Linked DNA regions of Anolis sagrei. The protein of the gene in region 3 interacts with the protein of the main gene of each other region in a biochemical or structural test. Links are inferred from orthologs where the notes say so. Each region holds a gene or a part of one and is shown on either strand. Other genes may lie near its edges.

Region 1 (8,137 bases), on a different chromosome or scaffold from region 3:
TGACATCTTTCCCCCAGGGGATTGCTTCTTGCCCTCCTTTAGGAAAACTGGAACTCCCAAGGACCAAAACACTGTACATAACTCAAAATGAGTTTAATTGTTCACAAAGAGTTATCCCTTTAAGGCAACAAGCTGGAAGTTTCAAAGGGGTAAAGGAAAATATACATTACAGTCTCTGGTTTTCTTGGGTCCAAGGACTTTTGCAGCTGAGAAGCTTTTCCGGGTCCCTCTTTCTCAATGGCTGTGAATATCGGAATAATCACAACTCCAATTCCAATGGCCTATATTTTGAAGGCACAAAGCCTTCCTCTGGTGCCAAAGAACTTGTTTGAAGGCACTCGAGACTTCTCAATGTCGTCCAGGTTGATCTGAACATAAAGCATAAGTCTGAAGGGTAAGAACCTCAGAATTGGTGCTGAGAGGTAACTTAATCAAGGGCTTCAGAGCCAAGTCTCTCTCTCACGTCCATCTGATAGAAAGTTTGGTGGTGGAATGGAAAAGGAAACACTGTCCCGCTCTCTAGGAAGAGGTGGGATCGAACAATTGAGCAGGAGGAGCAATTCAACTGGTGCAAACAACGTTGATTGACAGCTATAAATAACCAATCAATCCAACTATATATTGTAGAAGGCTTTCATGGCCAGAATAACTGGGTTGTTGTATGTTTTTTCGGGCTATATGACCATGGTCTAGAGGCATTCTCTCCTGACGTTTCGCCTGCATCTATGGTAAGCATCCTCAGAGGTAGTGAGGTCTGTTGGAACTATATATCTGTGGAATGACCAGGGTGAGACAAAGGACTCTTGTCTGCTGGAGCTAGGTGTGAATGTTTCAACTGACCACCTTGATTAGCATATAATGGCCTGACATTGCCTAGAGCAAACTTTTGTTGAGAGGTGATTAGATGTCCTTGTTAGTTTCCCTCTCTGTTGTTGTGCTGTTGTAATTTTTGAGTTTTTTTAATACTGGTAGCCAGATTTTGTTCATTTTCATGGTCTCCTCCTTTCTGTTGAAATTGTTCACATGCTTGTGTATTTCAATGGCTTCTCTGTGTGGTCTGATATGGTGGTTGTGAGAGTGGTCCAGCATTTCTGTGTTCTCAAATAATACGCTGTGTCCAGGTTGGTTCCTCAGGTGCTCTGCTATGGCTGATTTCTCTGGTTGAAGTAGTCTGCAGTGCCTTTCATGTTCCTTGATTCGTGTTTGGGCAACACTGCATTTGGTGGTCCCTATGTAGACTTGTCCACAGCTGCATGGTACACGGTAGACTCCTGCAGAGGTGAGGGGATCCCTCTTGTACTTTGCTGAACGAAGCAGTTGTTGGATTTTCTTGGTGGGTCTGTAGATAGTTTATAGGTTGTGTTTTCCCTTAATGTATGGCAAGAACACTTTTCCTCTGGGTAGCCATGAGAATAAAGATGAAGATCCGCCCAGTTTTCCTAGTTCCAACAGACCTCACTACCTCTGAGGATGCTTGCCATAGATGCAGGTGAAACATCAGGAGATAATGCCTCTAGACCAGTGTTTCTCAACCTAGGGGTCAGGACCCCCAGGGTGGTCGCAAGGGGGTGTCAGAGGGGTCACCAAAGACCATCAGAAAACAGTATTTTCTGTTGGTCATGGGAGTTCTGTGTGAGAAGTTTGGACTAATTCTATTGTTGGTGGGGTCCAGAATGCACTTTGATTGTAGATGAACAATAAATCCCATATGTCAAGGTCTATTTTCCCCCAAACTCCACTAGTGTTTACATTTGGGCATATTGAATATTCATGCAAAGTTAGGTCCAGATCCATCATTGTTTGAGTCCACAGTGCTCTCTGGATGCAAGTGAACTACAAATCCAAAACTCAAGGTCAATGCCCACCAAATCCTTCCAGTATTTTCCGTTGGTCATGGGAGTTCTGTGTGCCAAGTTTGGTTCAATTCCATCATTGGTGGAGTTCAGAATGCTATTTGATTGTAGGTTAACTATAAATCCCTGCAACTACAACTCCCAAATGACAAAATCAACCCCTCCAACCCCGCCAGTAGTCTAATTTGGGCGTATCGGGTATTTGTGCCAAGTTTAGTCCAGTGAATGAAAATACATCCTGGAGATCAGATATTTACATTACGATTCATAACAATAGCAAAATTACAATTATGAAGTAGCAACGAAAATAATTTGATGGTTGGGGGTCACCACAACATGAGGAACTGTAATAAGGGATCGCAACATTAGGAAGGTTGTGAACCACTGCTCTAGACCATAGCCATATAGCCCATAAAAACCTACAACAACACAATCCAACTATACATTTACAGGGTAAAAAGGCAAAATCGGGCTTGATACAACAGTTCAAATCCTGCAACTTACAGTTCTACATATAGGTGGTGCCACTCACACCGTCACACAGAGGTACAACACCTTTGTTCAGATGATTCATTGGAACTTGTGCCACAAACACCATCTGCCTGCCACAAAGGTCTGGTGGGATCACAGCCGCAAAAAGTTATGGAAAATGAACACGTCAAGTTACTCTGAGACTTCTGAATTCAGACAGACATAGTTTTGGAGCTCAACACTCCTGACCTCACGTTCATGGAAAAAAACAAAGTATAGATCATAGATGTTGCAATCTCAGGCGAAAGCAGGATTGCAGAGAAACAACTGGAAAAGCTGACACGATATGAGGATTTAAAGATAGAACTGCAAAGACTCTGGCACAAACCAGTCAAGGTGGTCCCAGTGGTGATCGGCACACTGGGTGCAGTGCCTAAAGACCTTGGCCTGCACTTAAACACAATCGGTTCTGACAAAATTACCATCTGCCAGCTGCAGAAGGCCACCTTTCTCTGATCTGTATGCATTATTGGCCGCTACATCACATAGTCCTAGACACTTGGAAAGTGTCCAAAATGTGATCCAATACAAAAGCCAACATAGTGATCTTGTTTGCCATGTGCCAATCTTGTTGTGTGTCAAATAGTAAAAATACCTTTTATTTATTACCCACCCCTTATTATAGTTCGAGGCAGGGTACAACAAAGTCAAAAACATGAACATAAAATAAGTATACAATGAATTACACAGATAAAAACACAAAAATATAAAACACTTGCACAAAACACAGATACAGAATTGACATATAATAGTAGTAGAGGGTAAATCAAAACTCATGATAAATTGACTCTTCTGCCAGAAGAGATGGGTCTTCCATTCTGACAGCTCTTTTAGGTCCTTTCTACACTGCCATATAATCCAGACTATCAAAGCAGACAATCCACATTATCTGCTTTGAACTGGATTATATGAGTCTACACTGTCATATAATCCAGTTCAAAGCAGATAATCTGGATTTTATATGGCGGTGTAGAAGGGGGCTCAGTGTATACTGTCATATAATCCAGTTCAAAGCAGATAATCTGGATTTTATATGGCGGTGTAGAAGGGGGCTCAGTGTATACTGTCATATAATCCAGTTCAAAGCAGATAATCTGGATTTTATATGACGGCGTAGAAGGAGGCCCACTCTACACTGTCATATAACCCAGTTCAAATCAGATAATCTGGATTTTGCATGCCAGTGTAGAAGGGAGCTCAGTCTACACAGTCATTTAATCCAGTTCAAATCCGATAATCTGGATTTTATATGTTGGTGTAAAAGGGGCCTCAGTCTACACTGCCATATAATGCAGTTCAAATCGGATAATACGGATTTTATGTGCTGGTGTAAAAAGGGCCTCAGTCTACACTGCCATATAGTCCAGTTCAAATCCGATAATCCGGATTTTATATGTTGGTGTAAAAAGGGCCTCAGTCTACATTGTCATATAATCCAGTTCAAAGTAGATAGTATGGATTTTATATGGTGGCGTAAAAGGGGCCTCAGTCTACACTGCCATATAATCCAGTTCAAATTAGATAATCCGGATTTTATATGTTGGTGTAAAGGGGGCCTCAGTCTACACTTCCATATAATCCAGCTCAAAGTAGATAATCTGGATTTTGTATGACGGTGTAGAAGGGGGCTCATTCTACAATGTCATATAATCCAGTTCAAAGCAGATAATCCGGATTTTATATGGCATTGCAGAAGAGGCCTCTGCCTGTACTGCTATATAATCCAGTTCAAATCAGATAATCCGGATTTTATATGTTGATGTAAAAGGGACCTCAGTCTACACTGCCATATAATCCAGTTCAAATCAGATAATCCGGATTTTATATGTTGATGTAAAAGGGGCCTCAGTCTACACTTCCATATAATCCAGCTCAAAGCAGATAATCTGAATTTTGTATGGCGGTGTAGAAAGAGGCTCTGTCTACACTGTCATATAATCCAGTTCAAAGCAGATAATCTGGATTGTATATGGTGGTGTAGAAGGAGGCTGAGTCTACATATAATCCGCTTCAAAGCAGATAATCTGGATTTTATATGGCGTTGCAGAAGAGGCCTCTGTCTATACAGAGGCTCCTTCTTTGGAAGCTTTTAAACAGGGGCTGGATGGCCATCTGTCAGGGGTGATTTGAATGCAATACTCCTGCTTCTTGGCAGAATGGGGTTGGACTGGATGGCCCATGAATGAGGTCTCTTTCAACTCTTTGATTCTATGATTCTATGATTCTATACTATCATATAATCCAGTTCTAAACAGAGAATCCGGATTTTATATGTTAGTGTAGAAGGAGCCTTAGTATCCCACAAAACTGTACATTTCCATAGAAGTTAATATGGTGGCAAAGGAATAGAGCAAAGCCACTTTTTGACTTTGGGACTTCAACTCCCAGAAGTCTCCGCTGACTGGGACAATGGAAGGGAATCCTGGGAATTGAAGTCCAGAAAAAAACATTCAGGGCTAAAACGGAGGCGGGGCTGTGAGAGCGGAGGGGCGTGTCCTGGCAGACGGGGGGCGGGGCTTCGACGGGGGGCGTCCCGGGAAGAGAGCGCGCCCGCCAGTGGAGTTTCCCCGCCGGAGAAGACACACGCAGGCAGTCAGTCCGCCATGAGCTCCGCAGCCACCTATTTCCGCTCTCCGCCGGCCTTGATCCCGGCCAAGAGGCTCCACTTGCCCGAAGGAGTGACCCTGCCCCCTGGAGACTACAGCACCACCCCCGGGGGGACCCTCTTCGGCACCACGCCCGGAGGTGAGCCGCGACACCTGGACGCTGCCTTTCTCGTGTTGACATCCCTGCAGTTGCTTCCTTAGCCCTTGGATGTGACTTTAAGACACGGGAATACTTAGCTCTGTTTTAGAATTGCAGTCTGAGTGTCTCTGAGCATGGGCAGAGTGCTGGCTGGTGCTTGTGGGCTGAGTGCCTCTCAGTGTGTGCAGAGTGGAGTCTTAATGTTGACGTTTGAGAGCTGAGTGTCAACATTATTAATGTTGACACTCAGCATCTTAAGGTTGATGCTTGAGTGCCGAGTGCCTCTGAGTGTGTGCAGAGTGCAGAGTGGCATCTTAATGTTGATACTCGTGTGCTGAGTGCCTCTGAGCATGTTCAGAGCTCTGGCAGACATCTTAATGTTGATGCTTGAGAGCTGAGTGCCTCTGAGCATGTGCAGAGTGCAAGGTGGCGTTTTAATGTTTATCCTTGTGGGCTGAGTGCCTCTGAGCATGTGCAGAGTGGCATCTTAATGTTGATACTCGTAGGCTGAGTATGTGTAGAGTGCTGGGTGGTGTCTTAACGTTGATACTTGTGCGCTGAGTGCCTCTGAGCATGTGCAGAGCGCAGTGTGGCGTCTTAATGTTAATACTTGTGGGCTCAGTGCCTCTGAGCATGTGCAGAGTGCTGGGTGGTGTCTTAATGTTGATGCTTGTGGGCTGAGTGCCTCTGAGCATGTGCAGAGTTTTGTCTTAATGTTGATACTCGTGGGCTGAGTGCCTCTGAGCATGTGCAGAGCGCAGCGTGGCGTCTTAATGTTGATACTTATGGGCCGAGTGCCTCTGAGCATGTGCAGAGTGGTGTCTTAATGTTGATGCTTGTGGGCTGAGCGCCTCTGAGCATGTGCAGAGTGATGGCTGATGTCTTAATGTTGATGCTTGGGTGCTGAGTGCCTCTGAGAGTGTGCAGAGTGCTGGGTGGCATCTTAATGTTGATGCTTGAGAGCTGAGTGCCTCTGAGTATGTGCAGAGTGCTTGTGGGCTGAGTGCCTCTGAGCATGTGCAGAGTGGTGTCATAATGTTAAAATTTGTGAGCTGAGTGCCTCTGAGCATGTGCAAAGTGCAGGGTGGTGTCTTAATGTTTCTACTTGTGGGCTGAGTGCTTCAGAGCATTCAGCCCACAAGCACTGTTGCTTGAAGCCAGCCTTGAACCGCATTCCATGGTGAGTGCAGACCTGGTTCTTCTGTGTTTCTCTCCTCTCCTGCCTGGGGAGTGTTTTGCAGAGAGGGCCCTTCCCAGCCTGGCAGGTTCAATGCTGGATCAGCGCTCATGGACCAGAGCCTGCATCAGATGCCCGCTGTGTTATTTTCCAGTTGGCAGGCACATGGGTGGGATGGACACAGGCGGAAAGAATGTCACCGCTTGCACCCCAATGGAGCGCAGCACGGAATGCAATGTTAATGCTTATTTATCCCACTGGAGAACAGGCCATGGGTGCAACTACGCTGCAGAATTAATTCAATTCCATCCCACTTTAATTACTCAAGGCGATGAAGTCCTGGGATTTGCAGTTTGTGAAGGACGCACCAGCATTCATTTATTGGCGCAATGAGTTAAATCCTTGTGCCAACAGGACTGAAGACTGACAGGTCAGAGGTTCGAATCTGCGGAGAGCGCAGACAAGCTCCGTCTGTCAGCTCCAGCTCCCCGTGTGGGGACATGAGAGAAGCCTCCCACAAAGATGGTAAAACATCAAAACATCCGGGCATCCCCTGGGCAACGTCCTTGCAGACGGGCAATTCTCTCACACCAGAAGCGACTTGCAGTTTCTCAACCCTAAGCATATTTAAGTGGAAGATCTGATGCAATTCCAGAGTAAAAGTTGTCGATTGCATAAGACTTAGCAAGGGATGGGAAACCGTCACAGTTTATTTCATTGGACTGATAGTTATCAGCCTTGCGTGCAAACTTGTCCTATGTCTTGTCAAATGCCGGAATCACTAGGTCACTGTGACTTTCTCAGGCTGTATGGCCATGTTCCAGCAGCATTCTCTCCTGACGTTTCGCCCACGTCTATGGCAGACATCCTCAAAGGTTGTGAGGTCTTGTCGAAGGCTTTAATGGCTTGATTCACTGGGTTGTTGTAGGTTTTTCGGGCTATATGGCCAAGTTCTAGAAGCATTCTCTCCTGATGTTTCACCTGCATCACTACCTCTGAGGATGCCTACTGTAGATGTGGGTGAAATGTCAGGAGAGAATGCTTCTAGAACATGGCCATATAGCCCGAAAAACCTACAAAAACCCAGTTGTGAGGTCCATTGGAAGCTAGACAAGTGGGGTTTCTGTGGAATGTCCAGGGTGGGAAAAAGAACTCTTGTCTGTTTGTTGCAGTTGACCGGTTTGGTTAGCATTGAATGGCCTTGCAGCTTCAAAGCCTGGATGCTTCCTGCCGGGGGAATCCTTTGTTGGGAGGTGATTAGTTGGACCTGATTGAGAGCCATTGCAACATACCTGAGTGCCTCTGACCACGTGCAGAGTGCTGAATGACGTCTTAATTACAGAATGATTCATAGGTTGCCTTGGGGTCCACATCTCCGCTGTAGAATTAATGCAGTTTTACATCACTTTAATAACCATAGCTAGATGTATTGTTGAAGGCTTTCATGTCTGGAATCACTGGGTTGTTGTGTTTACTGGGCTGTAAGGCCATATTCCAGAAGCATTCTCTCCTGACGTTTCGCCTGCATCTATGGCAGGCATCCTCAGAAGCATTCTCTCCTGACGTCTCGCCTGCATCTATGGCAGGCATCCTCAGAAGCATTCTCTGCTGACATTTCGCCTGCATCTATGGCAGGCATCCTCAGAAGCAGTCTCTCCTGATATTTCGCCTGCATCTATGGCAGGCATCCTCAGAAGCATTGTCTCCTGACATTTCGCCTGCATCTATGGCAGGCATCCTCAGAAGCATTGTCTCCTGACATTTCGCCTACATCTATGGCAGGCATCCTCAGAAGCATGTTTTCCTGACTTTTCGCCTACATCTATGGCAG
Region 2 (7,765 bases), on a different chromosome or scaffold from region 3:
GAATAGACCATGCTGACAAATGCCCGGTTGGCAGCTGGCTTTCCCACAGGAGCCCCATGGATCAAGTCCCTTAAGGTCTTCACTCTCAAATTACTGGTCTTCTCACCAAGCACAAAGCTGATAGCATCCATGAGGTTTGATTTCCCTGGTTAGATACAGCAAAGACAGAACAAATTGAAACCATGTTATCAATATTATGTTGATGTTTTCATTGTCACAGTTTCTTAGTCTCAAGATTTTAGCAACGAATAATAAAGACTCCGAATTATTACTGAAGAAGGTAAAGGAAGCAAATGCAAATGTTAGTTTACAGTTGAACATAAGAAAACAAAAATAATGACCACAGATAACCTTCATAACTTTAAAGTTAGACAAACTGATTGATTGAATTATTTTCTTTGTTTTTAAATGTTCAAGGAGCTCCATTGGCTGCTGTTTATTTTCCAAGCCCAATTTAAGGTGCAGGTGCTTACCTACACAGCCCTAAATGGTTTGGGACCATCCTACCTACGTGACCGCATCTCTGTTTATGAACCTACACGTTCTCTTCGTTCATCCGGAGAGGCCCTGCTCACGATCCCACCTGCGTCGCAGGCATGTCTGGTGGGGACGCGAGACAGGGCCTTTTCTGTGGTAGCCCCCTGACTCTGGAACTCCCTCCCTAAAGATATCAGACAGGCCCCTACCTTGGTAGTCTTTAGGAAGAACTTGAAGACCTGGCTGTTCCGATGTGCCTTTCCAGAATAGGAAAACTCCAGTAACATGTCCCAGAAGCACTTTATTAGAGTTTAAGATTGCCCGCACACTGCACTTACCCTAAAATCTGATATACCACCTGCCACATCAGCCTGTACTCATTTTAACCTGTACCCATTACATTGGCCCGGCCCTGTTTTCTTGTGTTTTGGTATATTGTTTTATTGTTTTGTTGTTTGATATTGCTTTAATTGCTTTGATTTGTTTTAAGTTGTGTATTTTGTTATGCTATGTTTTTATTGAGGCCTTTGCCTGTGTAAGCCACATCGAGTCCTTCGGGAGATGCTAGTGAGGTACAAATAAAATTAATAATAATAATAATAATAATAATAATAATAATGTAATGTATTGCATATGTATGTTGTAAACCGCTCCGAGCCTTCAGGGAGTGGTGGTATATAAATTCGATTAATAAAATAAATAAATTAAAAATTAAAAAAACACTGAAATAGTTCTATACTTTGCCTCACTCATTAAACAGAACGCGCTGCAGTCAAGAAATCAGAAGAAGACGAAGGCCCCTTCTATACTGCCAAATAAAATCCAGATTATCTGCTTTGAATTGGATTATATGGCAGGGTAGACTCAGGTCCCTTCCAGGATCGGATCCCACGTTTTCTGCTTTGAACTGAATTATACGAGTCTGTGAAGCCGAGCACCCCCCCCCCCCCCAGAATGGGGGATGGTGACTTGTAGCCCTGCAAAGGGCAAGCGCACCAGACTGCACAGTAAGGGGTTAAGTCTTGGTCACATTGCCAAGGCACTGACAACAACAAGGACCCCACGAGGCTTTTGGGAAACGGCTGGATCTTGGGACTTCTGCCCTTCGTGAGAGTCGTAGTTTCCCAAGGACCAAAGTGTGAATCAGTTGCAGCACAGCTGGGGTTTCATCTGCTAGCCTTCCCAATGATCATGGACTCTCTGCCTGCATGTCTTGGACTTCAGTACATACTATCTCCCTCATGAACTTTCCTCAAAGACCTTTTAAAACATTGGACTTCAGGCTTCTTCATGAAAATTAATCCTCTTATTAAATATATTTGGGATGTGGGACAAAGATGGGGTTTTGTTGCTATGAAATGCTTATGATTTGAATGTATGTATCTTGCTATGAAATACCTTTTGCCCCCTTTACCCTTGCCCAAAAAAAGGCGACCAGGAAAAACCACTCAGTGCCTGAGGGGGCTGTTGTTCCCTCGAAACCAACCTTATCACAGACATTTGCATGTACAATAGCAACTGGAAATTCTTTGTTTATTTTTTTCTGAGTTGGCCTGGTAAACAGGGAATTTCTCTGATCACATTTTAATTTAATCACAAAGGGGCGAGACTGGCCCCAGGGGTCTTCTTGCCCTGCTCTGTTTGTTTCATCCAAAAACCTATCAAAACCAACACACCTTATCTGATCCTGGAAGGGGAAAACCTGAATCAAATGATTATCCCTAATCACTGATCCATCACAAGAACAAAAAAACTGGTTTCCTTGGCTGGCTGATCCCTCGGGCAAAGGACAGTGGAATGTCATCATCCTCTCTGGACACAATGCCCCTCTTCCGTCCTGCCTCCCTCTCCCTGATTTGCTAAGGAGCCGAAGAGGGAGGGAGTTTTGAAACTTTCAAATCTGTATTTTGCTATAAATATGCCTCTGATCAATGTATTGGTATGCTTGCATGTGAATGATCACTGCAATTGCATCCGCTTCAGCTGAATCGCTAATAAACCTCGGTGCCACTTCTTCACCTTGGCAAGAGTCTCATTTCAATTATTAATATCAATAAAATTGCTGGAATCAGGCTTCTTCTGACGGCTCGCCAAGGACAAGGGACTCTCTTTGGTGCAGTCCTAGGAGTCTCTTCTACCGGGGAGACTCTCCCAAATTCAGGCTCAATATCATCTGCACTGCCAGATAATCTGGGATAAACAGAAAGCCTGGAATAAAGGGCCTGCCTGGAAGGACCCTCAGTCTACAGGTACTGAGTAGTGTGACTGAGCATTTGACTCTTAGGCCCCTTCTACACAGCTGTTTAAAATCCATATTATCTGCTTTGAACTGGATTATACAAGTCCACACTGCCCTATAATCCAGTTCAAATAAGATAATCTGGATTTCAAATGGATGTGGTAGGACCCTGGGTTATCTGGACATGCTCCCTACTCTACCCTTCCCTGAAATGCCATGCGATTCGGTGTTGTGTCCTTAGATCCCGGGGAGGCCCGCCTTACCGGATCCATTGGGCCCGATGATGGCCGTGAAGCTCTGGAAGGGCCCGATGATTTGCCGCCCTTTGTACGATTTGAAATTCTCGATCTCGATCAGCTTGAGGAACCCCATTCCGCGGGTTGGGGAAACGGGGGGGAGATAGAAAAGGTGGACGCAAAGCAAAACTACGGGGCGCGGTGGGGGACACAAGGCCCCGTAGGCCCCTCTTGATTACTACTCTCGGCCGCCGTCCACGAGAAGGGCGGGAGTCTTGAAACCTCGCGAGAGTTGATTACGGCTCACTTTAGGCTCCGCCTCTTACGACATCGCGGTCGCTGATAGGATGCCGCTGCCGCGTAAAATTTGCATTCGGAGCTCCTCCCCTTTTCCGCCTCAGCTCAGCAGGGGACCTCCTTCCTGCGGCAAGCTCCGCCTACTCCGAACTTCTCACTGTGCTGATAGGTTCGAGCGCAGCCAATGAGCCCTTTCCAAAGATGACATCATTTAAAGTGGCTCGTTGTCACAGCAACCAGAAAGCAAGCGCCGTCTAGGAAAGGTGAGCATCAGGCGAGTCGGGTCGTGCAGAGGAAGGGGCCTCTGATCAGGTTGCCTACACTTTATGGCACTACAAAGCCCAGCAGCCCTGGCCTGTTGAGAGATGCTGGGAGTCTCAGTCCAGAGGCGGAATTATAGCATCTTATTAACTGCCATGGCTCAATAATATAATATATTGTATATACATATAATAATGATAATATTATAATGTAATACAATATAATACTACTAATAATATGATAATTATATATTTTATATTAAATGTAATATTACTAATATTACAGTATAATGTTATAGTACAATGTTATATATATATAATGTAATGTTTGTTTGTGGGATTAACAGAACTCAAAACCCACTGGATGAATTGACACAAAATTTGGACACAAGACACCTAACAACCCAATGTATGTCCCTCACTCAAAAACATGATTTTGTCATTTGGGAGTTGTAGTTGCTGGGATTTATAGTTCACCTACACTCAAAGAGCTTTCTGAACCCCACCAATGATGGAATTGAACCAAACTTGGCACACAGAACTCCCATGACCAACAGAAAATACTGGAAGGGTTTGGTGGGCAGTGTCCTTTGGTTTTGGAGTTGTAATTCACCTACATCCAGAGATCACTGTGAACTCAAACAGTGATGGATCTGGACCAAACTTTGTGAATTATGACCAGGAATGTTTTGACGATGTGGCTGTGTAAGTGTGATGATGACGGTGTTGTATTGTAATATGTTTTTAATTGTGTAATGATAATACATTGTGTGGTTTGTATTTTTGTATACGAACACATGTTGTGAACCGGATCTGAGTCCCTCTTGGAGATGAGAAGATCGGTATAGAAAACTTTTAAATAAATAAATAAACTTTACATGAATACTCAATATGCCCAATTAGGGAAAATAGAATCTTAACATTTGGGAGTTGTAGTTGCTGGTATTTATAGTTCACCTACAGTCAAAGAGCATTCTGAACCCCACCAACGATAGAATTGGGCCAAACCTCCCACACAGAACCCTCATGTGGGCCACAGCAACACTTGGCAGGGGACGGCTAGTAATATTAATATTGTGCTATGGTAATAATATAATATAATGTATTTATTTTTTGCTTGTAAGCCGCTCTGAGTCCCCTTCGGGGTGAGAAGGGCGGCGTATAAATGTCGTGAATAAATAAATAAATAAATGCTATGGGATTCTGGGATTTGTAGTTTTGTGAGATACTTCCCCTTCCCTTCCACACAGTCATATAATCAAGAATATCAGGGCAGATAATCTACAGTATCTGCTTTGAACTGGATTATCTGAGTTCACACGGCCATATAATCCAGTTCAATGTGGATTTCATACAGCTGTGTGGAAGGGGTCAGAGGGCTCTGGTGCCACAACAAGAAACGAATCCCAGGATTCAATAGAATGGAGCCATGGCAGTTAAAGTGACTCATCACATTGTGGATAGTCACTGAGGCCCCTTTTACGCTGCCATATAATCCAGATTATCTGATCTGAACTGGATTGTTTGATTAGGTACCAAAATATGTTTCTTTTAACACAGAGGATTATGAGCCATGTAAATTAGTTTTTGAGAAACAAATAGATGCTTTGAAGGAAATCCTCCCTCCAAGGAATAAGGGTATATTTTTGCAGATACTACTTATGTGGTGCTTATAATGTCTGAAGCTCTAGATTCCATCTAGGAGTAGGGAGAAATACGAGGGTTGAATTAAAAGTAATGCCTCCACCTTCGAAACTCTTCAACAGATGGCAGTACTGGTATGCGGCAGGTACTGGCTTGTTCAGTAGACTCTCCTCTACAGTTCCATTTTGGCGGGAAGCCTTAGCATTGAATGGTTGTGTTGTTAAAGTGCAAAGTATGGAACCCTGTGCAGATGGTCGGTCAATGCGACTTAAGCAACGTGCAGTCATTGAATTCTTGACAGCAGAAGGTGTCACCCCAAAGGAGATTAATCAGAGAATGCAAGCTGTTTATGGTGGTTGTGTTGATGTGAGTACTGTGCATCATTGGGCGAGTGAGTTTAAAGATTTTGAGGTGGGAACATCTGACTTGCGTGACAAACAAAGAGTTGGACGTCCTGTGACAGCAAGCAAAAGGTTGACAGATTGATTAAGGACAATCGTCGTATCACTCAGAGAGAAATCTCAAGCATAATCGGCATTTCACAAGAACGTGTGGGTCACATTATTGCTTTGCTTGGCTATCGGAAGATCTGTGCAGGATGGGTCTCGGAAACAAAGTGTCGACTTCTTCCATGATGGCTTCAGAAAAATTGTTCATTGTTGGCAGAAATGTATCCAATGGTCTGGTGATTATGTGGAAAAGTGAATAGTGGTAGCTAAAGAGCACATTCTAAGGATTATTTCTGCATTTGATTTATTAAAATATTCCCATCCAAACCCAAGTAACAAAGGTGGAGGCATTACTTTTCATTCAACCCTCATATATATATATTATATAATGATGAGTCTACACTGCCATGTAATCCAGTTCAAAGCAGATAATCTGGATTTTATATGGCAGTGTAGAAGGGGCCATAATATAAGGCTGATTACCCTTTAATTGGAATTCTGAAATTCAAAATGCTCCAATTGATAATGTGCTATTTCATGAACAACATTTATTTTAAAATATAATGCACTCAGTTATTTTCAAGCACTAGACATATAAGATGCATGTGAAAAATCACTAAATGTTTATGGATGGTTTCAGGTGGCCCATCTCTGTGGTGTGACTTTAAAAGTATTTTGCTTGAGACTCTGGACAACTACAAGCATTTAGTATAGTAAACATTAAAATAGATTAGTATACATACAGTCCTTGAGTTACGGACAAGATAAATTCTGTAGGTTTGTTCTTAAGTTGAATTTGTATGTAAGTCAGAACAGGTACATTTTTTAAAATGAAACTCCAGTCCATTTGCTTTGGATAGCATAGGGAAGGGTGTTTGTTTTGCTGTCTGTGCCCCTGTTCAAAAGATTGCCCCTCACTTTCTGTCTCTGTGATAATTGGATTTTGAAAAATGTGGCTTGTTGTGGAAGCAAGAATTGGAGAGAAAGCTTCAGGTACTTCTACACTGCCATATAATCCAGATTATCAAAGCAGATAATCCACAGAACTGGATTATGTGAGTCTACACTACCATATAATCAAGTTCAAAATGGATAACCTGGATTTTATATGACAATTTTAGAGTGATGATCATTCCTTGCGTTAGTAGGTGTCTTGTGGCCAAATTTGGTGGCAATTTGTCCAGTGGTTTTTGAGTTATGTTAATCCCATAAACGAACATTATATTTTTATTTATATAGACTAGCCGTCCCCTGCCACGCGTTGCTGTGGCCCAGTCTGGTGATGTGGAAAATAAAGTAATGAGAAAGCATTGGTTTCTAATGTATGTAATTTTGTAATGTATGTAAGTGCTTTTGGGTAAACAGTATTTCTTGTTGTTTCTTTGTCAGTGTTGATGTGGAGATTGTCTGGTTTGACTACTCTTGAATATGCAATATATCATAGTCCTTCTTTAGGGGTCCCTTTGAAATCTATGATACTATATCTGTATCTGTACTATATCTGTGTGTGTGAATCATATCTATCTATATTTATGACTGGATGGCTCTTTGTCAGGAGGGCTCTGATTACATTTTCTTGTCCTGGTGAAGAGAGTTGGACTGGATGGTCTTAAGTATTTTCTGTTGCTCATGGGGATTCTGTGTGGGAAATTTGCCCCAGTTCTGTTGTTTGTGGGATTCAGAATGCTCTTTGATTGCAGATGAACTATAAATCCCAGTAACTACAAATCCCAAATGTCAATGTGTATTTTCCCCAAACTCCATCGGTGTTCATATTTGGGCATATGGAATATTTGTGCCAAGTTTGGTCCAGATCCATCATTGTTTGAGTCCACAGTGCTCTCTGGATGTAGGTGAAGTACAACTCCCAAACTCAAGGTCAATGCCCACCAAAACCTTCTAGTGTTTTCTGTTGGTCATGGGAGTCCTGTATGCCATGATTGGATCAATGCCATAACTGGTAGAGTTCAGAATGCTCTTTGATTGTAGGTGAACTATAAATACCAGCAACTACAACTCCCAAATGACAAAATCAAAAAATTTTGAGTGAAGGACATACATTGGGTTGTTAGGTGTATGCTGTCCAAATTTCGTGTCAATTGGCCCACTGGTTTTTGAGTTCTGTTAATCCCACAAACGAACATTGCGTTTTTATTTATATAG
Region 3 (7,513 bases):
TATTACTATATAGAAATAATAACACTGCAATGTAATGGTGCTGGTGTAATACTAATAATGTTGTAATATATTGTATATTGTGTATACTACAACTTATGATATGGTACAATATATTCTATAATACTAACAGTATAATGTACTGGTAGTGTATCACATACATTGTGGTGTAATAATATAGTACAATATAATAATATAATATGATTTATTTATCGTATCAGGAGCGAAGCAAGCGCACAGTTGTGATGTATTTTAAAAAACACAAAATTTAAAAATTTGACATTATATGAAATGTCCTGGACACTTGGGAGTCCCTCTGGTGTTCCTATAAGGAGGTCCTCCATTGTGCATGTGGCAGGGCTCAGACTGAATTGTAATAGGATGCATTGTATAATATGATAATTGTATATTATATAAGACATTCAAATGTTTAAAAGCAATGCTTTTGGGTTTGAAAAGATTAGCCATTTACAAGAAATGTTGCCTGGGGGATGCCCAACTGTATTTACTCAGTCTTCGAGGAGTCTCTTTCCGTGTCATAAGTCTGCCCATGCAAAGCAGGTGAACATAGCATTGAACAAAACATGCAGAATAATCACAGGATGTCTTAAACCTACACCTGTGGATAAACTTTACAAGCTAGCTGGTATTGCCCACCCCCACCCCCATGTGCGACGGGAAGTTGCTGCTAAATGTGAGAGAAATAAGGTTGAACACTGTGAAAGCCACCCACTACATGGCTACCAGCCTCCTCCCAGTAGACTCAAATCAAGGAAAAGCTTTATGCGAACTACCACTCCTCTTGGCGTCCCCCCAGGAACAGCTAAACCAGGAAATCCCAACTGGATGGCCCCCCACGAGTGTCTTTCTCCAGGGGTAAACTAAGAATGGGCAACTTGGAAGTCCCTGAACAGACTCAGAAGTGGAGTAGGCAGATCAAAAGACAACCTGGCAAAATGGCACTACCTAAAAGAATCCCACACCTTGTGTGGCTGTGAAGCAGAACAGACAACTCCGCATCTGTATGCTTGTCCACTATGCCCTGCCTCATGTACAAAGGAAGAATTGTTGGAGGCTACAGACATTGCCATTGCTGTTGCCCATTTTTGGTCAAAAGGTATTTAGCCGCCTACACTCCTTCTATTTTTATCACTTTTTTATTAATTTATGCAATGCTTTTGATACAAAATAAATAAAATATAATGCACATAATATTACTAGTAATGTTATTACTTTTGATGCAGATTTGTTTTTGGGATGGGGGGGTGGTTATTTTTGTCTTTGTTCAGTTTCTCACGGCATTTAATGTTTGCCGATATCTGTTGTAATCCACCCTGAGTCCTCTTGGGGAGATAGGGCAGGATATACTGTATATACTCGAGTATAAGACTAGTTTTTCAGTCCTTTGTTTAGGCTGAAAAAGCTCCCCTGAATTTATACTCGAGTCAAAGTTATTTATTATTTTACTTTATTATTATTTATTTATTATATTACTTTATTATTATTATTACACTTATAGGTCAACTTTATTATTTTTATTATTATTACATTTATTATTTTACTCTATTATTATTGGAAGGATACGTAAACACGTGTACATTGAAGAAGGTTAGAATAATTTTTAAATCAGAGTTGGACAGTCTTATCTTACAGTTTTATGTAAATATTAATAAACATTCAACTTACTGATGCTTCAATTAATGTGATTTTATTAGTATCTATTTTCATTTTGAAACTGACCCATAGCTCCTGCATTTCCCATCCTCAGCTTATACCTCAGTTTTTGTGGTAAAGTCAGGTGCCTCAGCTTATATTCGGGTCGCCTTATACTCGAGTATATACGGTAAATAGTTCTTGTTGTTGTTATTATTATTATTATTACTATTATTTCTATTATTAGAAGTCAAGCAAGTGAGGGCCAATATGACAAGTGTTCTGTCGCCACTGGACCTGAAATGAAGTGCCTTTAAGAGAGGATGTATGGCTTGGATCCAGCGGGAAGCCAGGGGCCCCGAAAAGAAGCCTTTGGTAAATTTCCCTTATTAAACAGTCTTTATGAGGCTTGAGCTTAAATATAACAGTCTTTTATTGATGAACAAACAGGAATTGTAAAGTTTTCTAAACAGTCTCTTAGCTCTTGCAATCTTGTTCACAGGGAACAGGCACTATCTTCAAAAACCTTGTTCAAAGGAAAATTCCCCTTTCTAGCTCCTCCCAGGCTGCTGTGAACCTAAACCTGACTTATTTGAATATACTACCGGCTGAACTGCGTCTCAGAACCTAGCAGACGTAGCAACAGGCCTGTAGTCACTTAGCTGCTTTGATGGTTAGAGCTGTTATTCCCCCCGGAATTCTTCAGGGCTGTAAGGCTGTTTCCCTGGAACCTTTGGGAATCTTCAGAGGCTCTCAAGACTGTTCTCCCCCAGAAAGTCTTAAGGGACGAAGCCTTTGCACAGGAGGATGTCTGTATACACCCTCTGCATTGACTTCCTTTGCTGAGACTAACTGAAAGATGGCCCCTTCCCTCCAAAAAACCCAGAGAGGGGCAGGACCAGGGATCGTAACTATAATAGACTAGTGGCTTGCCCTATGATTGCAAACGTAACAGGAAGCCACCCTGCTGCAAAATCCCAAGCCTGGGATTGCAAACCAACATTTAATTCAAAGCAAATAAAATTGGAGCTCCTGGAACAGCTGTTCCAGAACAACAAGCATGAGGATGGATAGGCGGAGGAGGAAGAGATGGAGGAGGAAAACATTGTAGAATTGATGCAGAATTGCTATGCCTGGGTGCCATATCATCAATAGGAATCGTAGTGGTGATATGTTACTATGTTTTTAATTATGTTTCAGTTGGTAAACTTTGTTGTTGTCTCTGTGTTTGGCCCAGCAAATAAGCTGCCATGAGTCCCTTTTGGGGAGATGGTGACAGGGTATACAAAATAAAGATTTGCAAGGCCTCTGCTTGCAAGGCCTCACCAAACTATAAATCCCAGGATCCCACAGCCTTAATGCAGTTGGGACGCCCCATTTCATTCACTGCCATGGCTCAAAGGCTAGGCAATGGTGGGAGTTGGAGTCCAAATCACCTGGAAGGCCCAAGTTGGCCCATGCCTGGCAGTGAAGAAAGTGAGGCCAGGTTGCATTCCTTCTGACTGACCTGAGGCTTCTTTTCCCGGCTCCACATTCGACGTGAGGTGCGCGCGCAGCCTTCCGCCTGGGAGGGGCGTCAGAAGGGGAGCGAAGGGGGCGTGGCCTCTCCTTCTTTCCCGCGTTTCCCTCCTGGCTCCGCCCACACCGGAAGCGGAATCCTGATTGTTGTCGTTTCTGCTCCCGGAAGTCATTGGGCGGAGGAGGAGGAGGGGGAAGCTGAAGTAACTGAAGACTATTTTGGGCGCCTTTTTCTCGATTGCCGGGCCCAGAAGGAGCCGGGAAAAGGGAAAGTGTTGGTTGTTTCCGCCCCCGTTTGAGGAGGAGGGGGGCTTCCTTTTCCCCTTCCTCCTCGCCATGTTGCTGCCGTCAGACGTCGCCCGGTTGGTCCTCGGTAAGGGAGCGGTTCTGGGCCCATCTACACTGGCCATTTAATGCGGTTCGAGGCGAGGTTCAGACTGCGGCGGCCAAGCAACCAAGGGCCCTGCCAAACAGATATATAGCCTAGAATATCAAAGCAGACAATCCCACAATATATTGTCGAAGGCTTTCATGGCCGGAATCACTCAGTTCTTGTGGGTTTTTTCGGGCTATATGGCCATGTTCTAGAGGCATTTCTCCTGACGTTTCGCCTGCGTCTATGGCAAGCTTCCTCAGAGGTGAGGTCTGCTGGAGCTGGGAAAAAAGGGGTTTATATATCTGTGGAATGACCAGGGTGAGACAAAGGGCTTTTGTAAGTTGGGCTAGGTGTGAATCTTTCAACTGACCAGCCCATTGTATGCTAATCAAGGTGGTCAGTTGAAAGATTCACACCTAGCCCAACTTACAAAAGCCCTTTGTCTCACCCTGGTCATTCCACAGATATATAAACCCCTTTTTTCCCAGCTCCAGCAGACCTCACCTCTGAGGAAGCTTGCCATAGATGCAGGCGAAACGTCAGGAGAAATGCCTCTAGAACATGTCCATATAGCCCGAAAAAACCCACAAGAACTGAATCCCACAATATCTGCTCTGAACTGGAATATGTGGCAGCGTGGACTCAGGTAACCCAGGGCCCTTCTACACTGCCACATAATCCAGATTATCAAATTATTATTTATTATTATTACAGTCCCACTATATAGAGACAAAGTTGAAGTACTTTGGCCACATCATGAGGAGACAGCAAAGCCTAGAGAAGACAATGATGCTGGGGAAAGTGGAAGGCAAAAGAAAGAGGGGCCGACAAAGGGCAAGATGGATGGATGGCATCCTTGAAGTGACTGGACTGACCTTGAAGGAGCTGGGGGTGGTGACGGCCGACAGGGAGCTCTGGTGTGGGCTGGTCCATGAGGTCACGAAGAGTCGGAGACGAATGAACAACAACAAATATGTGCTCTGAACTGGAGACCCCTTCCACACAGCTGAATAAAAGCCTGTATTATCTGCTTTGAACTGGAATATATGGCAATGGGCGCTTCAACTCAGCCCTATATCCCAGAATATCAGGGCAGGAAATCCCACATTACCTGAGTGTGGACTCAGATAACCCGGTTCTAAGCAGATACTGTGGGATTTTCTTCCTTGATATTCTGGGCTATAGGACGGTGTGGAAGGGCCCAGTGTGGTCTCAGGTAACCCAGGGCTCTTCTACACTGCCACATAATCCAGATTATCAAAACAGATAATCCACATTATCTGCTTTGAACTGGGTTATATGATTCTACACTGCCATATAATCCAGATCAAAGCAGTTAAATTAGTGTAGGTGGGGCCACAGTTCAAAGCAAATACTGTGGGATTTTCCGCCTTAATATACTGGGTTATCTGGCTGGTTGGAAGGGCCCTGGGTTATCTGAGGGCCCTTCTACACAGCCTTATATCCCAGAATATCAAGGCAGAAAAACCCACATCTGAGTTTGGACTCAGATAACTCAGTTCAAAGCAGATATTGTGGGATTTTCTGCCTTGATATTCTAGGTGATATGGTTGTGTGGAAGGGCCCTGGGTTATCTGAGTCCACGTTGCCATATATTCCAGTTCAAAGCAGATAATGTGAGATTTTATTCAACTGTGTGGAAGGGGCTCAACTACTCCACAAAAGTGCTAGAAAGGAAGCTCTCCATGAACACCAGTATTCTGCGGTTTGTATATTATCCTATCCTGCCAGGATTTTCTGTGTAATCTGCACAGCAAAGCTGATTTTTTCAATACCGGTTTTAAACTGCATTAAATGCTTGACGTGGATGTGTCCTGTGAGGAGAAGGGCATGGCTCCTTGTAGCTCCTTTCCCCATTTTAGACTCACTGGGTGTGTCAGTTGAATATCTCTTCTTGAACAACATGTCCGGCTGCCAGAGGCATGTTAGGTTTTGGAATGTTTTGTAGATATCTTGGAATCTAAACACAAAAATAATTACAATATACATACAGCCCCTAAGTGAATTTATACACAATATTTGTGGTAGTATGATTTAAATCATGTATGGGCAAACTCTGGCCCACCAGGAGGGCCAAAATTTTCCCATGCCTGATTTAAAGTGGTCCAAACCAAATTGTCAGACTTAGTAGAGAACATTGACATTTGTGGATTTTAGCTTCTTTTAAGCGTCACACTGATACTTCCTATTCCCTTTTTGCAATAGTGATCAGAGTTGTGTGTTAATTTGTATTGTGTAGAAACAGCAGCTTTGATTGGTGACGGTTGTTTCTTTTGACAAGAGATAATACGATATCGTCCTAATCTTTGTTTGAAATTCAGGAAATGTTAAGTGCAAAGCTGGTATTTTGTTCAGCAGTTATGAGCTAGTAAGCAGGATTGTCCTAGCCACTAAGGATTTGTATTTAATAATTTTGTAAAAATGTACCCACCTCTCCTCATGGCTATTAGGCAGGTAAACAACATTGTTGAAACACATAGATACAATGTAGTACTATTAAAATACATGTATTAAAATGAACAAAACAAAGATACCAATACTAATAAAATGTCAGGTTAAAATTTACAGTTTAAAACCAACTGGGTAGACCTGTCAGAAAAGATAGGTCTTCAGTTGTGACTTAAATTCTAACAGCTGATCTAGCTGTCAGACCACTTCTGCAGGTTGTTTCACAGTCTTTGGGTCCGATGAAAAGGTGATGGTCGGCAATTGGTTTCTGGAAGGATGGACCAGACGCCCCCCCCCCCCCCCCGAAGGCCTCAATGTTTATATCTTTTAAGAAAAGAAATGGTAACCATTTCTTTTCTTAAAATAATTGGCAATTGTTTTTCAGCTCTTAGACTGATTTCCAGGTGACTCTGAACTATTAGGAACAGAGAATATGCCAATACACACTCTCTCTCTCTCTCTCTCTATATATATATATATATCTCAGATATTCAGAAGTGTTGTCGAAACACATCTATTCTCCCCTACATATCTTGTTTCTATTTCATGCTCTCAGAAGACAAAATTCAAGTAGACTTCTTTAAAAATAACTTGTTTGTCTTACTCACAACTTTGACCATTTAAATATACAGACACATTTCATGTTAGTTTAAACTTTAAAACATTTCAGTTTCTGTCTTTAACTTTCAGTCTTTTTCAATCTCTTCAACACTATACAGCTCTATACAACTCTCTTCTATAACTGTCTAATTTCAACTGTCATTGTCAACAGTCATCCCTCAACTGTCAACTTTTAAACTGTGATCTAAACAGTCCCTGTTCTGGCCACATGGTCTGCAGCCCCTCCCACAACCTCAAGAACATAGAGTTAGGGAAAACTGCATACCAAAGAATGCATATACACTTCAATAAATAAAACAGCATATTATATACAGACAAATTATTAAACAGGAGGTTTAAGAAGGTTTCCTATTTCCAAAATATTTAACACTTGCAAATAAAGAATTTAGTTCAGCCAATTCACCTTGAAGGCCATTTTTCCAAAGCGTGGGTGACTTATTGTGCAATAGGATAAACTCTTCTAACTGCGATGACTAGCATTACAACCCTTCTGGAGTTGGTATAGAATAAAAGTACAGGTTGTGTGTTACTTTTAATTTGTTTTCTAACAAACCCTTTTAAAAATACATATTTCAAAAAGAGTGCCACAAAAGTAATCTTCTGAAGCAACAAGTAAACTATTCGTTATACAAAAAAACCCCTCATAATTGTTCTTATTAGAACGCTTTACTGTAACAAGATTTATCTTGCTTACAAAAAGATTCCAATCTTTCTTTTTATGTGGTACTTCCTATTTACCTATCTGACAACTGCTGAACAATGATATAGATTGCTACTGTTTATCATTAGTATTTATGATGTTGTTTACTTCTGAAATTTTACTATAAAATTTTACCTTGTTCTGTGAATGGGCTGTATTGGTTTTCATTATTTTATCAT
Region 4 (7,652 bases), on a different chromosome or scaffold from region 3:
ACACCTAGTAAACCAAAGTTTGCCCATGCCTGATCTACATGATAATACACTGTACATCAACAGATTCAATGAGAATCCTCTATTTGGGATTAAAACCGCTTAGAGTCTCCCCAGGGGTGAGAAAAGCAGAGTATAAATATGTAAATAAAATAAACTAATTAATTAATCCAACAGGATTTCAGTTTTGCTCTCTATGCAAACTTCTGAAGGGCTTTTGTAAACAAGCAGCATAACCCATGCATGAGCAAACTTTGGCCCTCTAGGTGTTTTGGACATCAACTGTTTTAATGTATATTTATATTTATATTTAGGTATTTATTATGTGTTTATATTGTCTCGGAATCGAATTGTTGCCTGTAGGTAGCCGTCCTGAGTCTCTCCCTGGAGGTCGAGAATGGATGGGGTATAAGTGTTCAAAATAAAACTCCCTCAAATCATAACAGTTAGGAACTGTGGGAATTGAAGTCCAAAACACCTGGAGGGCCCAAGTTTACCCATGCCTGGCATAGCCCCATTCTTAGGGTGCATCTACACTATAGAATTAATGCAGTTTGACACCACTTTAACTCCAATGGCCCAATGCCGTGGAATCATGTTTTTGCAAGCCACCTTGGGTGAAAGAGTGGCATCTAAATGAAACAATATCAATAAATACAATTTAGTTGTAAAGACTATTTTAAGTGTATTGGTAATGTTTTAATATGTCTCTACCACACTGTACGATTTAATTGTTTTGTAACTTTTGTAATGAGCTTTTAAAAGTGTGGGTTTGTTAACTGCCTTGAGTCCCTACAGCGGGAAAGGCAGAGTATAAATACAGTTGTTAATAACAACAACAACAACCTTTTAATTTAATGTATTTGCAAGCTGCCTTGCGCCCCACTCTAATTTAATGTTTTCCTATTCTTGTGTCCCACTTTGGGAGAAAACTGGCATATAAATACAATATTATCAATACGTATAATAAAATGTGTTGGAAACCTTTCAATTTAGTGTATTTGCAAGCCACCTTTGTATCTCTCTTTGGGGAAAAGGTAGCATATAAATACAATAATATCACTACATATAATAAAATGTGTTGGAAACCTTTCAATGTAATGTATTTGCAAGCCACCTTTGCATCGCACTCTGGGAGAAGGTGGGATATAAATACAATAATATCAATACATATAATAAAATGTGTTTGAAACCTTTCAATTTAATGTATTTGCAAGTCACTTTTGCATTGCACTTTGGGAGAAAGTCGGCAAATAACGTTTTCCCATTCTTGTGCCCCACTTTGGGAGAAAACTGGCATATAAATACAATAATATTAATACATATAATAAAATGTGTTGGAAACCTTTCAGTTTAATGTATTTGCAAGCCACCTTTGCATCCCACTCTGGTTGAAAACTGGCATATAAACACAACAATATCAATACATACAATAAAATGTGTTAGAAACCTTTCAGTTTAATGTATTTGCAAGCCACCTAATTTAACGTTTTCCCATTCTTGTGTCCCACTTTGGGAGAAAGCTGGCATATAAATACAATAATATCAATGCATATAATAAAATGTGTTGGAAACATTGCAATTTAATGTATTTGCAAGCCACTTTTGCATCCCACTTTGGGGGAAAGCTGACAGATAAATACAATAATATCAACACATATAATAAAATGTGTTGGGAACCTTGCAATGTAATGTATTTTTAAGCCACCTTTGCATGCCACTTTGGGGAAAAGGTGGCATATAAATACAATTATATCAATGCATATAATAAAATGTGTTGGAAACCTTTTGATGTAATGTATTTGCAAGCCACCTTTGTATCTCACTTTGGAGAAAAGGTGGCATATAAATATAATAATATAAATGCATACAATAAAATGTGTCGGAAATCTTTCAATTTAATGTATTTTCAAGTCACTTTTGCATTCCACTTTGGGGGAAAGGTGGCATATAAATACAATAATATCAATACATATAATAAAATGTGTTGGAAACCTTTCAATTTAGTGTATTTGCAAGCCACCTTTGTATCTCTCTTTGGGGAAAAGGTAGCATATAAATACAGTAATATCAATACATATAATAAAATGTGGTATAAACCTTTCAATGTAATGTATTTGCTTGCCACCTTTGTATCTCACTTTGGGGAAAAGGTGGCATATAAATACAATAATATCAACGCATATAATAAAATGTGTTGGAAGCCTTTCTATTTCGTGTATTTTCAAGTCACTTTTGCATTCCACTTTGGGGGAAAGCTGGCATATAAATACAATAATATAAATGCATATAATAAAACGTGTTGGAAACCTTTCAATGTAATGTATTAGCAAGCCACCTTTGCATTGCACTTTGAGAGAAAGTCGGCAAATAACGTTTTCCCATTCTTGTGCCCCGCTTTGGGAGAAAACTGGCATATAAATAAAATAATATCAATACATATAATAAAATGTGGTATAAACCTTTCAATGTAATGTATTTGCATGCCACCTTTGCATCCCACTTTGGGGGAAAGGGAGCATATAAATACAATAATATAAATGCATATAATAAAATGTGTTGGAAACCTTGCAATTTAATGTATTTGCAAGTCACCTTTGCATCCCACTTTGGGAGAAAGGTGGCATATAAATAAAATATACATACACAATGTTAATAAATATAAAGGCATTAATTGTAGACATCCTTACCTTTTTCAGGGCCATATTTGCTGCTCAAAAGGTGCAGGCGCCCAACAGGTTTGGGGGTATTCCCATGAGAAGCCTCATTGGGATCCCCTTCCTCGTCCCAGTCCAACAACTGAGTTTGCTCCATTTTGCAATAACTATATAGCTATATATATGTAGGTACAATGTTACTCCTTCCCTTTGCCTTTCCAAACCTCATCTGTATCCATCTCCTTGCATTATTCCTTTGATAGCCTTGATATCCTGCTTCCAATTATATCCTAATGGCTAGCCCACACACACCTATGCACCTAAGTCTTTCTTATTTTTAGGTGCCTGTCCCTTTAAATCTAACTCCCGCCTTTTTCTTTCCCATTTGAACCTATTGAAAGGGGTCTCCGCTCCCCCAAATAGCACTCCGGCATCCAATTTTCGTGCGCCCCGCCTTCTTTTGCGCAGGACCCTTTTCTTATTGGATACCGAGGCTGCCACTTTAAACGCTTCCCGTCCGACGATTGGTTGATTTATTTCAATGGTTGGCGGGGAGTAAACGGCCCGGCCTCGCTCTTTTCCGATCCAATATAAGCGACGGAAAATCACAGAGACAGGAAATGTCCAGCCTAGAGCGTAAGCCCAGTAGCATAGAGTTGCTTCAGACATAGGGTTTCCGGCTTTGACTTCACGGCGGCGGCCATTTTGTTTGGCCTCCGAGCGAGAGGGTGGAAGTATACAGTCAATGCAATACATGGAGAGTCAATGCAATAGCCTGTCCTCCGTATCCGCGGGTAGACGGCCCTCCGTATCCGCGGGTTTTGTATACACGGGCACAACCACTCCTCGGTTATTTTTTTCTTAATTTTAAAACAATGTTTCTTATCTCTACATCATTGCATCTGCACTGTAAGAAAAATATTAATTGCGGTGCATCCACACTGTAGACTTAACACAGTTTGATACCGCTTTAACTGTCCTGGGCTTTGTAGTTTGGGTAAGTACCAGTCCACTTTGGCAGAGAAGGCTAAAGGCCTGCTAAAACCACAACTTGCCAGATTCCATAGAAATTCCCCAAGGAAGTTAAACTGGTATCAAACTGTGTTAAGTCTACAGTGTGGATGCACCGCAATCAATATTTTTCCTGGCCCGTTAATTATTATTATTAACTTAATTTCTATCCCCACCTTTCTCTGCATAGGGAATCAAGGCAACTTACACGACCTTTTAAACAGAGGCTGGATGGCCATCTGTCAGGGGTGATTTGAATGCAATATTCCTGCTTCTTGGCAGGGGGTTGGACTGGATGGCCCATGAGGTCTCTTCCAACTCTAGGATTCTAGGATTCTATGACCCAATAACAATATAAAACAAAGCAAATACAAAATTATTATTATTTATTTGAAACACAACAAGATTAGTACACAGCAAACAAGATCACTGCTGGCTGTTGTATTGGATCACACGTTGGACACTTCCCAAGTGTCTAGGACTGTCTGATGTATTGGTGAATAATGCGTGCAGATCCAAGTAGGGTAGCCTTTTGCAGTTGGCAGATGGTAATTTTGTCAGTGCTGATTGTTTTTAAGTGCAAGCCAAGGTCTTTAGGCACCGTACCCAGTGTGTCGATCACCACTGGGACCAACTTTACTGGCTTGTGGCAGAGTCTTTGCAGTTCTATCTTAAATCTTCATATTGTGTCAGATTTTCCAGTTGCTTCTTGTCAATTCTGCTGTCACCTGGGATTGCAACATCGATGATCCATACTTTCACGATCATGAGGTCAGGACTATTGTGCTCCAAAACTCTGAATTTGAAAGTGTCAGAGTAGTCTGACATGTTCGTTTTCTGTAACATTTTCAGGCTTGTGATCCCACCAGTTCGTTGTCGCAGGCAGATGGTATTTGTGGCACGAGTTCCAGTGGATCATCTGAGCAAGATGTTATGCCTCTGCTTGTAGTCCATCTGCACAATCTTCTTGCAGAGTGTACACTTGGGATCTGTCATCGACTTTTCAGTTCTGGCTTTAATGGCATTTGGGCTGCAAGAATCAGGCCCCCAGTTTCCTTTTCAAAGTTCAATTTGTTAGCCACATCCATGTTGTTGTTTTTGTTGTTGTTGTTGTATATTTTTTGTATGTTAACACATGTTGTGAACCGGTCCGAATCCCTCTTTGAAGGTGAGAGGGTCGGTATATAAAACCTCGAAATAAATAAATAAATAAATTGTTGTTGTTGGGATTGTGGCGCAGCTGGCTGAGTGTCAGCTGCATTAAGATCACTCTGACCAAAAGGTCATGAGTTCGAAGCCAGCCCAGATTGGAGTGGGTTTCCAACCATTGTGTAGCCCGTTGTCAACCTTTGCAACCCGAAAGACAGTTGCATCTTTCAAGTAGGAAAATAAGGTACCACCTTAAAAGTGTGGGGAGGCTAAAATTAACTAATTTATGAGGCCATAAAGAAGCACTCCAGTGGGGAAGCATGCAAGGAATGCAGAGGTACTTCATCAGCATCGCAGATGGACGATGAAAGCGACAGCTCCCCTGGTGGCCAGAAAAGGTTAAATAGCCTCTGTGTAAGTCTGTATATGTCTGCACATCAAAATTGGCATTGAATGTTTGCCATATATGTGTACACTGTAATCTACCTTGAGTCCCCTGTGGGATGAGAAGGGTGGAATATAAAAGCTGTAAATAAATATATTATTATTATTATTATTATTATTATTATATTTGTGTCCTGGACATAAAATTAAAATACAGTACAATTATAATTGCATTTAATGGGTTTTTAAGGACAGGAGTGGGCATTACCAGGTGAAACCATTTTTCACATGAAAATAAAATAAAAATCACAGCTGATCACTGCAGGTGGGTTTTCCTACCATTCACCATGTACCATAATTGCATGAATCAGACCCCTTCCATACAGCTGTATAAAATCCCATATTATCTGCTTTGAACTGGTTATATGGCAGTGTGACCTCAGATAATCCAGTTCAAAGCAGATATGAAGCCGGGAAGGTGGAATGTTAAAATTGCCTCTTTGTCTGTTTATATGTTGCATATTAATTGGCTTTGAATGTTTGCCATGTATATGTGCATTGTAATCCACATTGAGTCCCCTGCGGGGTGAGAAGGGTGGAATATAGTAAATACTCTAAACAAACAAATAAAGAAATAAGTTCCTGGACCACCTCAGCAGCATCCACCCCAACATCCAATTCACCATGGAAAAATAAAAAGAAGGAAAACTGCCATTTCTAGATGTCCTAGTCATCTGAAAGCCCAACCAACAATTGGTCCACACAGTTTACAGAAGACCTACACACAGAGATAGATACCTGCATAAAAGCTCCAACCATCACCCAAGTAAAAAAAGAAGCACCATTAAAGCCTTGACAGACCATGCAAAAAGAATCTGCGAAGCCCACCTCCACCAAGGTGAACCAAACCACCTAAACTGGGCTCTACAGGCCAATGGATACTCCACCTTAGACATCAGAAGTGCTGAAAGACCAAGAACAAGCCATGAGAGTCAAGACAAAGATCCACTCAGAGGAAAAGTGTTCTTGCCATACATCAAGGGAACCACTGACCACATAGTGAAGCTGATGAAGAAACACAATCTACAGATCCACTAAGAAAATCCAACAAATGCTACATTCAGCAAAGGACAAGAGGGAACTACAACTACTAGGATACCATAGCACTAAACCATGGCAGTTAAGGTGGTATCAAACTTCACTAATTCCACTGATTAAACTCTAACTCTCAACAGCGAAGAGAGGTGGCTGAGGAGGCTTGTAGCAGGGGAAGACTTGTGGGTTGAAGGTTAACACATTATGAGTAACACCGTTTCCTGTCGCAAAGCTACATATGGTAAGTAGCACAAACAATGGAAACAAAGTTGCTCCATTAGTGAATGAGCAATGTTAGAAGCATTACATATGATTTTTTAAATGTTTATATCATTATTTTGAAATATTTATTTATTCAAAGTAATGAAAAGTATCAGAAAAGTAACAGGCAATGCAATGTGTTGACTTTAAACCTGATGTAATCCTTTGGACGTTGGATTATGATTTTGGATACCAGGATTCTAATCCGCATTCAGCCATGGAAATCCACAGGGTGACTTTATCTAAGTCGCATACTCTCAGCCCCATAAAACCCTGAGGTAGCTTACTTTAGGGTCATTATAAGTCAGAAATGACCTAAAGGCACACCATAATAATAAGAGTTTATATTGCACATATGTTCGTGCTGGCAATATACAAATTCAGAAGTCCTTGTTCCCAGTCAGTATGTGTATATACAACTGTTCTTAAATCCTCAATAGGGAACAATCTACAGCTGACACTCTGAATAACTACCAGGGCACATATCAGCCACCCACATAAAGACGTTAAATGCTACCTAAGAGATATTCTACCAGTGCACAGTTCAGTAGTCTATGTCCACACTGATTGTTCCTATATTGAACATAGTGTGTGAGCACACCTCTTGCAGTGAGCAATGGCAAATACAAGAAAATTTACTCTTTGGAGACTAGAATGACCACAACAAACTGCAAATTCCAGGATCCCATGGCACTTAAAGTGGTGTCAAACTGCCATAATACTCTAATGTGGGTGGGCTGTTTGCTAGATGATTTGATTAATAGTTGCTTTGATGTGTTGTTGAAGGATTTCATGGCCAGAATCATTGGGTTGCTGTGAGTTTTCCGGGCTATATGGCCATGTTCCAGAAGTATTCTCTCCTGATGTTTCACCCACATCTATGGCAGACATCCTCAGAGGTTGTGAGGTCTGTTGGAAACTAGGCAAGTGAGGTTTATATATTTGTGGAATGTCCAGGGTGGGAGAAAGAACTCTTGACTGTTTGAGGCAAGTGTGAATGTTGCAATCGGCCGGCTTGATTAGCATTGAATGGCCTTGCAGCTTCAAAGCCTGGCTGCTTCCTGCCTGGGGAATCCTTTGTTGGAATATGTTAGCCCT

What was found.
Region 1: of the proteins of ATM (region 3) and EIF4EBP1, one has a biochemical effect on the other in vitro, tested with the Homo sapiens proteins (2 studies listed by BioGRID, with this or other methods). The link is inferred for Anolis sagrei from reciprocal best matches to the Homo sapiens genes ATM and EIF4EBP1.
Region 2: the proteins of ATM (region 3) and SMC1A form a complex in vitro, tested with the Homo sapiens proteins (2 studies listed by BioGRID and IntAct, with this or other methods). The link is inferred for Anolis sagrei from reciprocal best matches to the Homo sapiens genes ATM and SMC1A.
Region 4: the proteins of ATM (region 3) and MDC1 form a complex in vitro, tested with the Homo sapiens proteins (2 studies listed by BioGRID, with this or other methods). The link is inferred for Anolis sagrei from reciprocal best matches to the Homo sapiens genes ATM and MDC1.

Annotation. Positions count from the first base shown.
Region 1 is NC_090027.1:10,772,976-10,781,112, reverse strand, and holds the start of EIF4EBP1 (eukaryotic translation initiation factor 4E-binding protein 1), read left to right. Parts: upstream 1-4,930; 5' UTR 4,931-4,987; coding exon 4,988-5,129; intron 5,130-8,137. UniProt on the Homo sapiens protein: Repressor of translation initiation that regulates EIF4E activity by preventing its assembly into the eIF4F complex: hypophosphorylated form competes with EIF4G1/EIF4G3 and strongly binds to EIF4E, leading to repress translation.
Region 2 is NC_090022.1:175,069,695-175,077,459, forward strand, and holds the start of SMC1A (structural maintenance of chromosomes protein 1A), read right to left. Parts: upstream 3,243-7,765; 5' UTR 3,089-3,242; coding exon 2,980-3,088; intron 146-2,979; coding exon 1-145. UniProt on the Homo sapiens protein: Involved in chromosome cohesion during cell cycle and in DNA repair. Central component of cohesin complex. The cohesin complex is required for the cohesion of sister chromatids after DNA replication.
Region 3 is NC_090023.1:26,265,281-26,272,793, reverse strand, and holds the start of ATM (serine-protein kinase ATM), read right to left. Parts: upstream 3,247-7,513; 5' UTR 3,158-3,246; intron 3,111-3,157; exon of another isoform or gene 3,087-3,110; intron 1-3,086. Other genes in the region: protein NPAT, read left to right, coding at 3,505-3,541.
Region 4 is NC_090022.1:21,662,691-21,670,342, reverse strand, and holds the start of MDC1 (mediator of DNA damage checkpoint protein 1), read right to left. Parts: upstream 3,139-7,652; 5' UTR 2,812-3,138; coding exon 2,688-2,811; intron 1-2,687. UniProt on the Homo sapiens protein: Histone reader protein required for checkpoint-mediated cell cycle arrest in response to DNA damage within both the S phase and G2/M phases of the cell cycle.